2 linked regions of the Xenopus tropicalis genome follow. The protein of the gene in region 1 interacts with the protein of each later gene in a pairwise test. Links are inferred from orthologs where the notes say so. Each region holds a gene or a part of one and is shown on either strand. Other genes may lie near its edges.

Evidence for each region.
Region 2: the proteins of ppp1cc (region 1) and sh3rf2 interact in a two-hybrid assay, tested with the Homo sapiens proteins (2 studies listed by BioGRID and IntAct). The link is inferred for Xenopus tropicalis from reciprocal best matches to the Homo sapiens genes PPP1CC and SH3RF2.

What each region holds. Positions count from the first base shown.
Region 1 is NC_030677.2:162,951,534-162,959,468, reverse strand, and holds the start of ppp1cc (serine/threonine-protein phosphatase PP1-gamma catalytic subunit), read left to right. Parts: upstream 1-3,536; 5' UTR 3,537-3,714; coding exon 3,715-3,769; intron 3,770-7,471; coding exon 7,472-7,603; intron 7,604-7,935. UniProt on the Homo sapiens protein: Protein phosphatase that associates with over 200 regulatory proteins to form highly specific holoenzymes which dephosphorylate hundreds of biological targets.
Region 2 is NC_030679.2:39,618,681-39,626,569, forward strand, and holds the start of sh3rf2 (E3 ubiquitin-protein ligase SH3RF2), read left to right. Parts: upstream 1-3,713; 5' UTR 3,714-3,785; intron 3,786-6,722; 5' UTR 6,723-6,772; coding exon 6,773-7,150; intron 7,151-7,889. UniProt on the Homo sapiens protein: Has E3 ubiquitin-protein ligase activity. Acts as an anti-apoptotic regulator of the JNK pathway by ubiquitinating and promoting the degradation of SH3RF1, a scaffold protein that is required for pro-apoptotic JNK activation.

The DNA of each region.
Region 1 (7,935 bases):
AGACTGGGGAAGTACACTCCACCTCTGCTCCCGAAGTTTCCCTGTCTTGGAACCTAAGGTGCGAACAGAGTGGGTTAAGGTTGTGCAGAGTGGGATATGGTTTTGCTGGTTAGAGTTGGGTACAGGTAAAAAATTTCCTGAGCTGCCTGTCACGAGTTGTTTTTGATATTAATTTCTAAAAGAGGCAGCTTTAATCAGGTGTGACTTATAAACCTACTATATATAGCCCTGCCATGTTTAACAATAGCTCTTAGGATGGATGCAGGGGATGTGATTGACTTTTTTCCCCCCGACTTAAATGGTCACGTCCAATTATCTGCTAACACAGGACAGTACATTTTATACTATGTAAATGAATTACATGATTTTACTCACTTTATACATGTAAGGTACGCCACAGAGCAGGCATATCTTCCTCATCCTACATGTATTGGCCAGTGTTTGCACTTTTGCGTTCCGAAACGTAAGCTTTCCTGCAAGCATTACCATGATGCTAGATAAGCATTAGTGCCGCAGTTTCTTCTGATAAATTCTCTTTCCTTTATGCCTTTTATTGGTTGTTATACCTGTCAAACCTTGTTTTGTGACCTGGTTTCTCTTTAAAATATGTTTCCTGTCAGTTGGCCCTTGCCCAAGCTGGCTTCTGGTTTTCAGATCATGCTCAAGGCCTCATTACTACTGTTACAACCTTCTTGTAATTGATCCCTGCCTATTTTTTACCATGATTTATCGTCACCTGCCCTTTTGCTTATACTTGTTAATAATTTTGTCTCATCCTGAGATTGTAAGCTCTATGGGGGCAGGGACCTCCTTCCTATTGTCTCTTTAACAATTAGCATTTAATATTTAGGGAAGTGGCAAACGAGACCGCAGGCAACTAATCTCCCTGAATGTAAATCGCCGGTGGGATGGAATGTGTCGCTTCAGTTTTCAGAAGCTGCCTCACAAGGAAACTTGGGGTGATTTCCGAAAAACAAATTGATATGTATGCCATCCCACCGGCAATTCACAATTTTGCTGGTGGGGTGGCATTTCAGGCATTTAGTTGCCCGCGGTATCGAAGATTTATCATGGGTGACTAATCTTCCCATCTGCCACCTCCCTTAATGTAATTGTGTTTTGATTTATTATTGTATCAACCCCTATTAATTCACTGTTCTGCTGTACATAAGTAGAACTTTATAAATAAAATATACATACATTTTTGTCTTTAATTCACCGAAGTTTTTTCTGAAACATTTTGGGTTTCTTGTGAGCAGGTCCCCAAAAGGGTGTTGATGAGGACTGGTGTTTGTAGGGTTATTTTCACTTTATGAAGAAGTAAGGCTATTGTCAGCAGTCTTTCTCTGGGTATCTGACCAACTGTTGTTACAACACCACTACCAAAAATCAATATTGTAACAACAAATCAATAAAACTACTGAATCTTGTTTTAAATAATAATCCTTGTGCCAAAAGCATATTAGCAAAGACATAACTTCAAAGAAATGATATGACAGACTTCAGTATAACAACAATGAATATCTGGCAGCACTTCACTTATCCCAATCAAAAGAAATGATGAACCCATGTTTACAAAGGTTTAGCTGTTTTTTTTGCTCAAAGCCTTGGATTAATTTGTAGTACAGAGTACAAAGCCATGATTTGGGGATGTTTAATATAGTCTCTGTTGCTGCTTCCTTTATTTAAAATTTAGACCTAATTTGACCCAGCGTATATGAAATATTATTGTCAGAGTTTGATAGACACAACTAGAATGACAAAGTCCAAGAAACAAATTCTAGAATATACTCTTACTTTACTTCTTTTAAAGGGCTGAGTTCACACCAACATGCCCCCTTGCCAGGAGGATTTGTGCAAGTGTAACAGATTTGAAGGGAACAGTAAAATAAACAGATATTCTCTATGCAGGTGTGTGATTGGTTTTTATTTTTTTTTTATAGTTTCTGAACTTCTCTTTCTATTGTGCCTTTTTCAGCTACTCAGAATAAGTGTGCATCAAGCATGTTTGCATTTGACTTACTGGCTCCATTATTACCCTTTGTGTAAAAAGTAGTGGAGGACAGGCTAATCTGCAGAGGTGAGACTGTTTAATTTGAAGAATGCTTTTACAGTTGTATTTATTTAGTAATGTGATATTTGTTTCATTTCAATTTACTTTGTATATTGTTGGAATTTAAAAAGCATTATGAGCTTTGGCTCATGATGCCTGAAATGAATATATATATACCTTGCCTTGAGGTATCTACTGTGAAATTAACCACTGGTGAACTGCTGGGAGCTTTGTATTCATTCTAATAAAAATCTTAAAGAAACAATCCCCTTTTGTGACAATACTATGAAATAAAAAAAAGTAAAGGGGTCAGTTAGAAAGGCCCTTGGCACAGATGCAAGAGCACTAAAGGGCACAAGGGCTTATCTACCGAGCACTTGTGTCCAAAGTTGTGCTGTTTTTTGCAGGGAGCACCAGATCAAACATTTAGAATGGTGTTAGGCTGTTGGCAGCCTAGTCCTAACTTTCTACAACATATTTATTTCAATACTGGTGTAGAGATTTCAATTAACACTAAGTTGGTAGGGTAATAATTATTCACCCTGGACTAGTTGAGACACTGGTCTCCTGATCTTCAGGTGTCTGGGTTTCCACTGGCCAAGAAATTGCCAAACCTCCTGGCTGGCCCTGGCCCTGGCCAATGTACAGAAGCATTGATACCTGCACGTTTCTTCTTGCGTTACTAAGCCAGAAAGCATGAAGTCAGGGAGTACAATTATTTGGGGCAAAGGCTTCTGCAACTACTGAGAAAAAACAGCAATTAATGTATTAAATGTGACAGCTTAGGCAGCAGCACTGCCATCAGATGGGACAGAGGGAAATTTGGTCAGGGGCCTGATAGCAAGGGCTTCTCACAAGAGCTGATCTGAGACTTTTGGGCTAGTGGGTGAAGTCTGGGCTGATTGTGGACAACTTGGCAAAAATGGGAGTGAATTCGGGTTTTTTTGGAGCTCCATTGTACTTTTTTGCAGGATCCACTGCTCAGGTGTCAAGGAGTAGCCCCATAATTACTGATGGCAACCCTGTTAGGAGGCTACCAAAAGGTATTTCTGTGTATTAGTTGAAAACAATAAATTTAGCTGACGTGAAGTAGCCATATCTATTTTTATTTTACGTGTATCGTTTTTTCAAAATTACTAAGTATTTCACTTTGTTTTGGAAATTACACCTCATTCAAATATCATTTACAAAACCTAGAAACCCACAGAATGATCAAAGACAATGTCACTGGATCTTTTTTAAAACAAAAACAACCCTCACACGTGTAATGCATTCCTAAAACCGATAACGGTTACCATTTTTTATATACGCAGTACTAACTTTTGGCACTAGAGAAAAAATAGTCCTAGCTCGCAAATACGGCCAAATTTCAGAAACGGCTGGCGCAATGAAACACAGCGTGGGTTGAGATTTGACTGTACGTGCTATCGCCTGGGTCTTTAAAATGTACCAGGTCGTGCATAGATATTCATGCGCGGGCCGGCAGGGGAGGAGGTGGCGCCATTTTGTCAGGTTCTTGGGAGTCTGTAGCGGAAGACGAGCGAGGGGGATTGAAAAGCCGCTGCGGCGCCAAGACTGCCCCCTGCCCGGTTTCCAGTACGTTTGGGCTTCTGTTTTTATTGCGACAGTTTACTGGGTCCGCCATTTAGACTTTCGGAGCAATGGCAGATGTTGACAAGCTTAACATCGACAGCATCATACAGCGACTGTTAGAAGGTGAGGATGGTACTCGGGAAGGCCTGGCCGGGTTTCCTTACACTCTGTCACTTTACTTTCATGTGGTGGCAGGGTTGAAAGGGTTGCCATTAGCTATGTATGTGAGTGAGCAATGATGTATACACGGTGTTATTATTGGGGCAGCGGGGTTTGTAGCATCCTGGCTGGGCTCCTTGTGCTGAGATTGATATGGCAGTTGGAGCGGCTGTCAGCCTGCAGTTGCGTTACGGAGCCGTTACCGGAACAGGACTTTATTCTATACTCCGGTACATACAGGGTGCCGCTCTGATTGCTCATAGTATATATCTAGTTAATCAGGCTGTTGTACGAGTTATTGGCCGGACTGGCCCAATATACATTGTATAGAGGCGATCCGCTGGCTCCTAGCCGCTGCATGTGTATTCCATGTGCAGAATCCGGATTCACCCAGTATATCCGATCCTTAACACTGCGCAGCGCTCCATACACCTGGGAATCGCAGCGATCCGTATAGGGACCAAGGTGCTTCAGACTTTAGATTGAACTATGATTATTGCTCACTCCATAGGGGGCATGTTGTGCATTAGCTGATTATTTCCATTTGCCTTAGTTGACCTTCATAACTGTGTATATTGCCAATAGGTGGGGGTTATCCTGACCCTGTGCCACAGCTGTGCTGCTCTCACTCGCAGCTTTACTGATGCACTATATGGGGGAGTTGGAAGAATAGATTGTGTCATTTTGTGTAGTTTGCCTTTAGTTATGGGCAATGGGTGAGCAGCAATGACTGGATCTATTTTCATTTGTTGTTCTCATTAGTAAATTAATGCTGATGTGGTGTGACTTTAATGAGGAAATGTAAGCTACTAGCTCTGTGTAGAGGTGCCATTACATTTTCTTTTTTTTTTCTCTAACACTTTTTGCTCCTCGGTTCTCTATTTGGCAACTTAGGCTGCAATTCCCTTGTGGGGTTACAGGTCCTTGCAACCAGTTACTTGTTTAAAGGGCAACTGTGATAGGAAAATTGTTTACGGCTAATAGACCCTGCAACTCGGGTGGAAGAAAGCAATACTATTAGTGGGCATCTATTTATGGTATATAGTCTATATACATATATTTATGTATATGTAATGAGTTAACTGACTTACTCATTGTGAACATTCCTGTTGTGATGCACGCATTCGCATGAATGTGCCAGCTTATGTTTAGGCTCCAAATATGGCTGCCCACTTTACACTACCTCCTGGTGTGGACAGCATAGCCCTATTACATACAAAGCCAAAGTGTTTTTTGGGGCAAAATGTATAGTTTGCCCCAACCAGAATGCAGGCTTAATTAGCCCATATTTTCTGCGGTGAATGCAATTTTCTTGTTTTCTTTCTACTTCAAATTGAAGTACAAATAGTGAGTAAAAAAGGACATAATAAAAGCCTTGCAATGATTCTGAATTCCTAGTTCACTGACTTGCATTCACATGGCATTTTAGACCTTCAACTGTGAATATAAAGTAAATAAAAGTCAAGATTTTAATTGTATAAATCTGCAGCATACTAAATGTTAATGACTAAAATTCTGTAGGCTGATATGCTAATGTATTTGTAAGGGCAAAATATAAGTGGTTGTGTCCAGACAAGACAATGAAACCTTGTTGCTCCTATATTTTACATATATTAAAGGGGCATTATACCCAGTTTTCACCAGTAAAAAAAACATTGGCTGAGCTGGAAAAGAAAAAGGGGGTCAGCAAAAATATTTGCTTGCCCCAACACTCCAGCTGAAACCGAAGTTCTCTTGCTGTAGGCGATCAGATTCTTCAAACAACTGTCGTACCACCTTCTGTAACTATTAGTCTAATATTTAGGCGCAGGCCGAGCAAGGCTGGATTCCACCCAGCAAAAAACACATGGGGAACAATAATACCTCCTTTCTCAACATTTGTTTAATAAATAGGGGCTGAATATACTTATGTCTTTTGTTTTAATTGTGAAAAATCTCATTTTTATTTTGTGAGCTAAACAGGAAAACTGAAGCTATTCCATGTTTGGTCCTTGCGAGGTAGATTTTTAAAAATTGAAATGGGCAAAAAGTGTTCCGTAGAAGACCTATTTATTGATCTATTGTTAAACAAGGGGGGATACTGCACCTTTTAATGGAGACATATTGGATTTTTGAAAGTCACTCTCGTGTTGGTAACAATGAATAATATATGGTGCCTGATTCAGTGCCCTTAAGTGTTTACTCTGAAAATGTCACATTTAGAGAAGCTACCCATAGATCCTCTTGTCTATTACAAATGAGATGTGGGCTTGTCCTGACTTCTCCAATTTAAATATTGTGGAACGACCTAACTTAAACTGTTCATGTGAGGAAACCCACAAACATCCAAAAGCTGAAGCTGTTCTGTATAGAGGAATGGGCTAAAATTCGATGTGCAGGACTGATCAACGTTTGCTACAAACATAAAACATGTTTACATTTACTAATTCACGAACGCTCCGAGCGTATTTTTGGTGACTTTTTCGTACTTTGCGACAAAATTTGTGCGACAAAATCGTATTGTCGCGCTGAGTAAGAACGTTTTGGATACATTCAAGCTTTGGTATCGTGACTTTCCTTGGGCCAGGTTGGAGCTGCACAGTGCCATTGATTCCTATGGGAGAATTTCCTTGGGCCGGGTTGGAGCTGCAGAGTGCCATTGAGCCCTATGGGAGACTTTCCTTGGGCCAGGTTGGAGCTGCAGAGTGCCATTGAGCCCTATGGGAGACTTTCCTTGGGCCAGGTTGGAGCTGCAGAGTGCCATTGAGCCCTATGGGAGACTTTCCTTGGGCCAGGTTGGAGCTGCACAGTGCCATTGATTCCTATGGGAGAATTTCCTTGGGCCGGGTTGGAGCTGCAGAGTGCCATTGAGCCCTATGGGAGACTTTCCTTGGGCCAGGTTGGAGCTGCAGAGTGCCATTGATTCCTATGGGAGGCTTCCAAAATCATGCACAGAAGGATCAAAGTCGGAAAGGGTTGCCTGCATTTTACGATTGTTCGGTACGAAAATTTCAAGACTTTCGGATCGGCAATACGATATCGTGACTAATGAGATTTTTTCATAAGCATATTCGTGATATTTGCGATCTTAAGAAATTATCGTATCCAATCCGAATTTATCCCATTTGGGATTCGAACTCATGTTTTCATTTAGTGTATTTATGTATGTATCTTACATCAAGCAAGAACATAGTCCTACAAACTGCAGTTGTCTATGAGGCTAATACATTGGTACAAAAATCAACTTTACATTGATTGGTCATTCACATTCTTGGTTGCTATTTTAAAATTGTACTTGTAGTGTCAATATAGAGTGGTGCCATTGCAGTATGAACATCCTTTTTAAGTATTCTGTTGTACTAATTTGCATTATTTCTCCCCATAATATGCTAGAACCAGGCTGACTGTTTAACATATTAGTCAATTAGAAACCAGATAAAGCGGTGACTGGCTACCTACCTACCCTTGCTTTTGGGTGAGGATTATTGGTTACAAGTGAGTGGTGTGTCTTGATGGACCACAGTGGCTCAGCAGCATTTTAAACCCTTATTGAGGTTGGGCTTCATATATTCATGACTACAGGATGTGATTTTTCTAAAATATCAACCCTTTTTAGTATACTATTTTCAAAATTGAATGTCATGGTTTATTATACCCTTTATGTTGAACCATTTAATTTTGTTCTAGTTAGAGGATCAAAACCGGGAAAAAATGTTCAGCTTCAAGAGAATGAGATTCGAGGGCTCTGTCTGAAGTCTCGGGAAATCTTCCTCAGTCAGCCAATCTTGCTTGAGCTTGAAGCTCCTCTTAAAATATGTGGTAAGTGCCGTGTTTAATTACCAGTGGTTATGTTGGTAGAGTAGATTCCACTTACCTGCCAGTTAGCAGGGCTGCACAAGTTTGATCTGGTCTAGTCTACCTATACATGTCACTTCCTGCTTATGGTAGACATAATGCTACCGTTCATGAATAACCTAGTTCTGACTGGAAACTTATTAGTCAAACCTGTACAGACATCAGAAATGTGTGCAAACTCTCTCTGCAACAACTGATTATCAAGCATCTCCACCTAATGGTGAGCAAAGGCCACTGCAGCTATTAATAAATCTCTTCTCCCTAAGGAAGCTATAGCAATAGTATTGGCAACATGG
Region 2 (7,889 bases), on another chromosome or scaffold:
AACTGGAAACTGGAATCTATAACCTAAACAAATCAAGACAGGACCCATTATATACAAAATTCGCATTAATCAAGAAAATGGAAAATAAAAGCTTTGCTGGTAATTTTCTGATTTATAATAAAAGATGGGGGTATCCTAAAAGGCTGGATTAAAACCATCAATATGCACCCCATTTACTTGCATGGCAGGACTCTTTAAGCACAGGTACACTTACTTGTCAGGAAACTTGGAAATGCTGACAGCTCAAAAATTACACTTGGTTCCATTACTGTTAAAGGGGCAGCATACCCTCTTTTTAACCTGAGTTCATTGGGGCTTGTGCTGAACATACTTTCAACCAATTGTTTAAATCATAATTTATTTATTTTTTGTAACTTCATGAGCTAAATGGGCAAACTACAGAAGCTACTCCATATTTGGTTCATGGGAAGTAGATAATTTGATTTCCGGTGTAGACTCCAGTTAACAGAACAGTGGGGAGGTGGGATGTATACAGGGCATCTAAATTGTGATTAAAACAAAAGAAAAAAAAGAATATACAATACTGCCCCTCAAAGGTCTCTAGCGAATAGTGCAAAAAATTAAGCACTCATTCATAGCATTTATAAAATGTAATATTTTTTTGCAATTTGCAATGTAATAACAGTCCACTGAACAATATTACATTGTGAAATGCTAAATTGTATTCTTATTTGTGCGCATTTTTTTTCCATTTATGACTTTTATTACATTCCCCCATAAGTGTGCAAATATATAACTTTGCAGCATGTTCAGTACTACATTTGTCAAAGAGCCTGGCTGTATTTGAGATCACATTAAAGCCTAAAGCTGGTTTGTCCAGGGATCAAAACTATAAAGCAGTGCAATCTCCAGTAGTTTTCTTCAGACCACATACAATTTTCAGCTCTAAGCATTAAGCGTGTGCCAAAGCAATTCTGCATCAGTGTGGATTAAATTAGCTGTGTGTTGTAGAAATAATGATAACAGTATCCAGACATTCACGCATGAATACTCAAATCTTCATTTACTTGTTTATTTATTTGTTTTGGCTTATTCTCTAAAAAATGTTTTGAATTGGCAGCAGTGTGAATGGTGTGATGTTTGCTGCTCGGTAGGCCCTTAATTCTTATCCTTCTTCGTTAGATTTCAGCTTTTTGCTATCAGCGAGACTAGAACCAGGGATTTCCTTCTGAAGATATTATTTTTTTAATCTCATAAACATCCTCTATACAACTTATTAATTAGACCCTCCCATCCCCTTGGGTTTCTAGGCCATGCCTTGTCTGGTTTCTTGTAAAATAAATGACACATTCAGAATTCTCTGCTATGATCAACCTTACCAAGGCAATGCAATTACAACTGACTCAGAAAACTATAAGAGTTGGGATTAAGCCAAAAAAAAGTGCTAAGAGCACCTTTTGGTTCAGAACTGCAGTAAATGTTGAGGAAATAAATACCAGCACGCTATGGCTGGAAATTTTCTTGAAGAGTTTTTGACTTCAGATAAAGGTAGAATCGTGTAAGCCTTGCTGGAATGGCTATCTTTAGCAATAGTAACTTGACATGGCAGATTCAGTGGCCTAGATAAGATTCTAGCTAGTTTCTACTACAAATCAAACTACTAACTTAGGGAACAATTATAACAAACTGATCATCCCTCCCATTTATTATGTGTCCATAAACTTTTTTTTCTTGGAAACTACTAGAAAAATGGCTCCACCATTTAGTATGATGCTTTTGGTGGGGGATGTTTTCTCTGAATATGATAAATCAGTGGAGACATGTTATGACCCATGGTGGAACAAGCTAGGCTGTTTAGGACATGTTATGTTAAAGAAGGAAAGGCTAAGTCACTTGGGGGTGCCAAAATGTTAGGCACCCCCAAGTGACTTTAATCGTTTACCTTGTACCCTGGGCTGGTGCCCCTGTTAGGAGAAAACCGCACCAGCCCGGGGTACCTGCAGCGAGCACTTCCACAAATTTATGAATAAAAATGCATCATCTGTGAACAAAAAATTGTCATGTTCAGTTGTCCAGATCTGTAAAGTCATTGAAGGTTTGGATGTAGTTCAGCTGAATAGTTAGGATCTTCTGACTCCTGCTCAGCAATGACTCTGAGTGTGCAAAACAGAATACACAGAGACAGGGGATGACTTTGATGTAGTTGGCCAGCTTGAAGTACATTGACAAACAATCCCTGTTTTGCTTTAAGGGGAGGGCATTTCTTGGTAGCTTAATGCACAAAATATCTCAATGTTCTATATGTATATTGGATCTTTTGTTGTTGTCTGCCTTAACGAGTGTCAAGGTTCACTTTAGTTGCTGAACTTAAATGCAAAGGTGACAGAAGAGCATTTTATTTGGGCATTAAAAGGTGTATAACAAAGCCCCTTTGAGCTGACTAAAGTGCTGCACAAAGCACATAAATTATAGATGAATACATTGAAAAAAATCATTTTTGAGCTTTTGTGGTCATACAAAGTAAAAAGCTACAGTAGAGAGAGTAGAGCAAGCTTCAGTCAATCTAGAAGCTTCTGGGAGCACCAACCAAAGACATTTATTCTTTTAACATGAAACAGCCTTGGGTGTAATGTTCTGCATAATGCTGTTGTAAGCAAAGTTTGTAACAGATATGTATAGTGTTGGATCCCTTTGGACATTGGGGAAACATAAAACTTCATTACTGAAATACATAATATACTCACATAACCTTCTGTCTCCCTATCAGATAGAAAGTTTCATGTAGTCATTATATTTAAATTAGTCTGTTTCAGTGCCTGAGTAGGGGTGATCAGCCAAACTGTCTGTTCAAATTCCCATTCTTGCACTTATATGTCTTCACGACCCTTTGAAAGTCTGTATGGTGTGAAGGGGATGTAGTATTTCTATTTGACGTCCATAGTACAGCTCACCGAGAGCATCTGTAGCCATCTTCTTTCATTGTGCATATGTGTAGGCAACATATAATATTTCTAGGGTGCTTGTACTCACTGGGGTCACAGGAAGCTGTAAGCACTGTAAAATTCTGACTGATGTAATTGAAAAGTGATCTCTGGGTCTCCTCCAGAATGTTAGTAATACATTCTGGTACTACCACCAATTGCTCCCTTTTATCAATGTCCTACAAGAACATTTTAGGAGGTACATGACTTCTGGATGATTGTTTAATGTCTAAGTTACAGCATTGGATTTAGTTATTACTCTCAGTACCTTCTCCTATAGATTTATTTTCTCCTAATAGTTTAGGAAAGAAAGGAGACTACTTTTCCTCATATGATGATTCTTCAGCAAGCCTTCCTGCATAGACTACATTCAATATCAACTTAATGATAACTAATCTGCCCTACAAGCCCACCTCAGGTTTTTATCATGTCATGGCATATTCATGGGTATATGATATTAATATCATGTTCTTTTCTATCTCTATTATATTAAAACACTTTTACTGTAAGGAAAGAATTCCTAAATGCGATAATAAGCATATTGTTGAAACTTGTTTTCTTGAAAATGCCCTTCACAGCAAATTTAAGCTTCTTGTTTTATTCTTTGGATTTTGAAATACCAGGAACACCGTGTGTGTTCACAGGAACACATCCAAACTTCCTCCTCAGGACTCATGCCAAGAATCCAACCTGCCTCAAGAAGGGTTAAATGGGCTGTACCAGTAAACTGATCTAAGAGAAATTCAGAGTATAGCAAAGTTGCTTTTTTATGCAGCTGTAGCATGAGGAACGAGGCTGGATTGTCCCATGAGCTGTGTGGTATAAAGGTTTATACAAGAGAAGGTCAGTTGTTGCAAACTCTTTGGATGACAGAGGTGTAGAGGATGGTTACTTCAAAACACTATTTATATTTGTAATCTCAGATTTTCTAGCCGGTATAGCAGAGCAAGGCATTGCGATTGAATTGTTCTACTTTTTCTTTGTCTACATGTGCTCTTGTCTACTGCTCTTTGGGATAAAGTCAGGATTTTTGTTTAAATAACACAGACCCCGTTGGCATGGTGGTTGGTAAATGCTTATAATAGCTGTATATAATATTTTTTTTAGATACAATGCATGTGACAACATTGTTTGGTAAGTGGGAACACTAGAGGCAATAAAATAACTATTCTGTTTTAATAGAAGAAATCTAATTCTATTAAATGCTTATATATATGTTTCCTTTTTCCTTTATTTAACGTGTATTTACAATGAACCCCCCCCAAAAAGTATCTATTGTAGTTTTTATCAGTTAAAAACAATTAAAAAGGTATGTATTTCAGTGTTGTGTATTAATACAGACAGTTTTACTGTTGCCCTGAATAACTCCCTACTGTCTTGTATCGTTTCATAGGTCCCATTTGTTGTGTAACTGGATTTCTGGGATTAGTTTATTAGATGTTTTTATTATTGTGTTTACACAGATATCTACTGTGCTATATGCTATACCTTATCTAGGGATATATACAGGCATATGATCTATTATCCAGAATAATATAATTTGGATCACCATTTGCCACCAGTATGTATTCATGCAGCATAATTACCTTTAATACAAGGTTCTATTATTATAGAGAAAAGTAAAATCTTTTTTTAAAAAAATTAGAATTATTTGCTTAAAGTTGAGTCTATGGAAGATGGCCTTTTTGTAATCTGGAGCTTTCTGGATAATGTTTCTAATGGTCTTATTCTAAGGAATCCTATATCCATACTGCATTCTAAATACAGATAAACTGATTTTCATCTTGGCACACATCATATATTTTAACAGACTCACAAGGTATCATTTAATAATATGCATTAAACACCATTTCTTACCCCCCAAAAAAGTATAGTATAAACCCACAGTAGAACTGGCAGAGCTTTTGCGATAGGTAGATTCGTATTAATTCCACAAAGCACTGTTCATACTTATACTAATTCATTGCTCCTGGCTGATGTGCCCATGGCCCTGGAGCTGACTGACACCTTGACAAGGAATGTGCCCATTTTGAATGTTGCATTATTGGACTTTATAGAACTTTCATGCTAATAGAGTTTTCTTTTATTAATTTAGGAAGAGCATTTCTTATCATTTACACCCAAAAGCTGCTTGAAATTTAGTCCACTGGTCCCCTATAAAATAAATTATATTTAAATATGTTATTTATATTAAAAAAACATTTAAAAAAATATAATTTACAGCATGCCTGGTAAAATGTGTACAAAGCAGCAAAAAATATGACTACACTCAACAGGCTTGGTGTAACAGATTTTAATAGACAAACAAAAAAATTCCAACATTTCGGTCACATCATCATGATCTTCCTCAGGGAAAAAAACTATATACATATTTGTAGTTTAAAATAGCCAGATTAAGCTGTTTGACACCTCTTCTGCCAGCCCATTTTCAAACTTGCGTAATAATTCTCATCAAGAAAGAAGATGTTATCACAGATTTATGTTGCAAGAGTTACTTCACACTTTTACCTGCAGTCATGTAAATTCTCTGAAGAGAATGATTTGGCTGGCTGACATGGAGGAAACTTGTCAGCTTAATGGCATGATTCTTTTTTCATTTGCAACTTACTTTCCTCTTACTGGGTTCATTTAGTTATACTGCTAGAACACAAAATAAATAAATGCCTGGGTAAGTATGGTTGGGTGTGATAGTTCTAATCTTTGTATTGTGTAATAAATTCTGGAAGTATGACCAAAATGTGGTCACTCCCATATCTATGTAATTAAAGGAGTACTAAAGCAAAAACAAGGGTAACTAGAAATGCTGAACATTATGTACTGAATCAGTAATGGTCTATGCCTTCAAAGTTGCCCAGAGAAACTCCCCATCTTCTAATCTTGTGATCCACCGCACATGCTCAGTGGCTCAGGAGTCCCTAAGTTTAGGGGTCATCATTATAAATCAAAACCTTTGCAGAAAGTGAAATTCTGTTGTATCAGTTAATGTTACAGAGATTATCAGCCTTGTACTTTGAATTTTATATGGTACAGTCAATTTATACAGTCTTTGACTATTATTGCAATAAGAAATAATGCCTTATTAAGTAAATAATTAAGGGCCAGCAATAAACTTTGGTGATAAAAATGGCTTTTGCACATTGAAAGTTTATAGCAGGATCTTCTTAGGACCGCTATACTCTCTATTGTTACACCCATTTTTAATTCTATAAAGTTCCCCATTTACCAAACTAATTCTAATTTCTTCGGATTTCAAATTTATCAACATGCCCCAGCTATGATGTCAGAACTACAGCATTATAGCAATATTTATTGTAGGAGAATATAACAGTGCACCTAAAGTTCAGATTAGCAAAATACTGAAACGTAACGCCTTGATCTTTCTTCATAATAGCTGGGAAAAATATGGCTAGGTGTAAAACCTAAATTAAACAGATTGTCCTTTCTGAACCACCATGAAAGTGTAGAAAAATCAAGTGATTCTTTGTATGTTTCCTGTAAAGCACAACCCTTGAATCCTGACAGCAATGCAACAAGAAAGCAGTATTTTATAAATTCCATTGTATTTGTGAATCACAAATATGACTCATTGGAATAGAAACTCGACTGTAGAACTGAGGTGCACATTTGAAAGGCGTCTGATGAGAGATTGCTGGATAATACAGTACATAGGATTTCGCCTTGATATGATGTGTTGGTGAATTATTTTTAATCGTTGGCCCATCTTTAGGTGTGGGTCTCAGGATTCTTAGATTAAAAACACTTTTCTGCTCTTTGTTTTAGTGACTATGAAGCCTTCATCATCTTTGGTTTAACTGCATATTTCGAATAAGATGGATGAATTGGTTGTTCTTGACCTCCTGGATTGCCCCTTATGCCTTGGAAAATTGGATGTTAATGCCAAGGTGCTGCCATGCCAACATACCTTTTGCCAGCCTTGTCTGCAGAGACTATTTAAAGCCAAAAAGGAACTGAAATGCCCAGAATGCAGGACCCCTGTACAATGCAGCATTGAAGAGCTGCCAGCCAACTTATTATTAGTACGAATACTAGATGGCTTGAGAGGTGGGCAAACCCTTCTGAGAAGAAACTCCTCACGGAGGATGGGGGGACTCTTTGCCCAAGATTCTTTAAAGAAGAGCAAAGCAAACAGAGCAAGCCAGGATTCTACAAGTAGGACCATTTCCAAGGCCAGGATGCCTGTAGATGGGGTAAGAAAATAGGCTGTAATTTCTCTATAATTAAGTGGGTGAAACCATATGGCATTCTAAATAAAACACCAGAATAGCTACATAGCTACAATAAAAAGCAAGAATAGCTACATAATATTACAGATAGTAAAGCTACGCAGTTTAGAGTAATTTCCTAGTGCAGTTATAGGGCTTTTTCTGATTTCTTTCAGTGGGAAGGGGATGGGTGATACCTCCACTGCCACAATTTAAGTGATTGATATGAAATGGTAAAGGTTGTTTTGTCTATATGGTTGTGAAATCTTGTCTTGCATAAGACGGCAGAAACCAGAATAATATTACATCTTATAAAAGCACCTTTTACATGTCTCAACATCATCGATATTGAGACGTGTAAGTCATCGACATTAAGTCATACATATTTTTTCAATAAGAGGTTAAAATCCATATGTCGCTTCCATGTTGCTTGCATTAGATGAATTAATGAAAAAAAATCACAGTGCATTTATGCAAGAACGCTCAGCGCTGAATGTCAATTCAATGCGGCTTTTTTTATCCTGTTATCACACAACAGGGATAATCACGGATTCATGATGACTGCTCATAAATCTTGATCATCTGCATAAGGGATATGTCTTGAGATTGGGTATTATTAGCTCTAAATCAACATTTTACCTAAGGGTCTAAATAACTATTTAAGAAGTCAGCAGAACATATGGCTTGGTATAATGCACCAGATGCTCTTCCAAATCCTAATTTA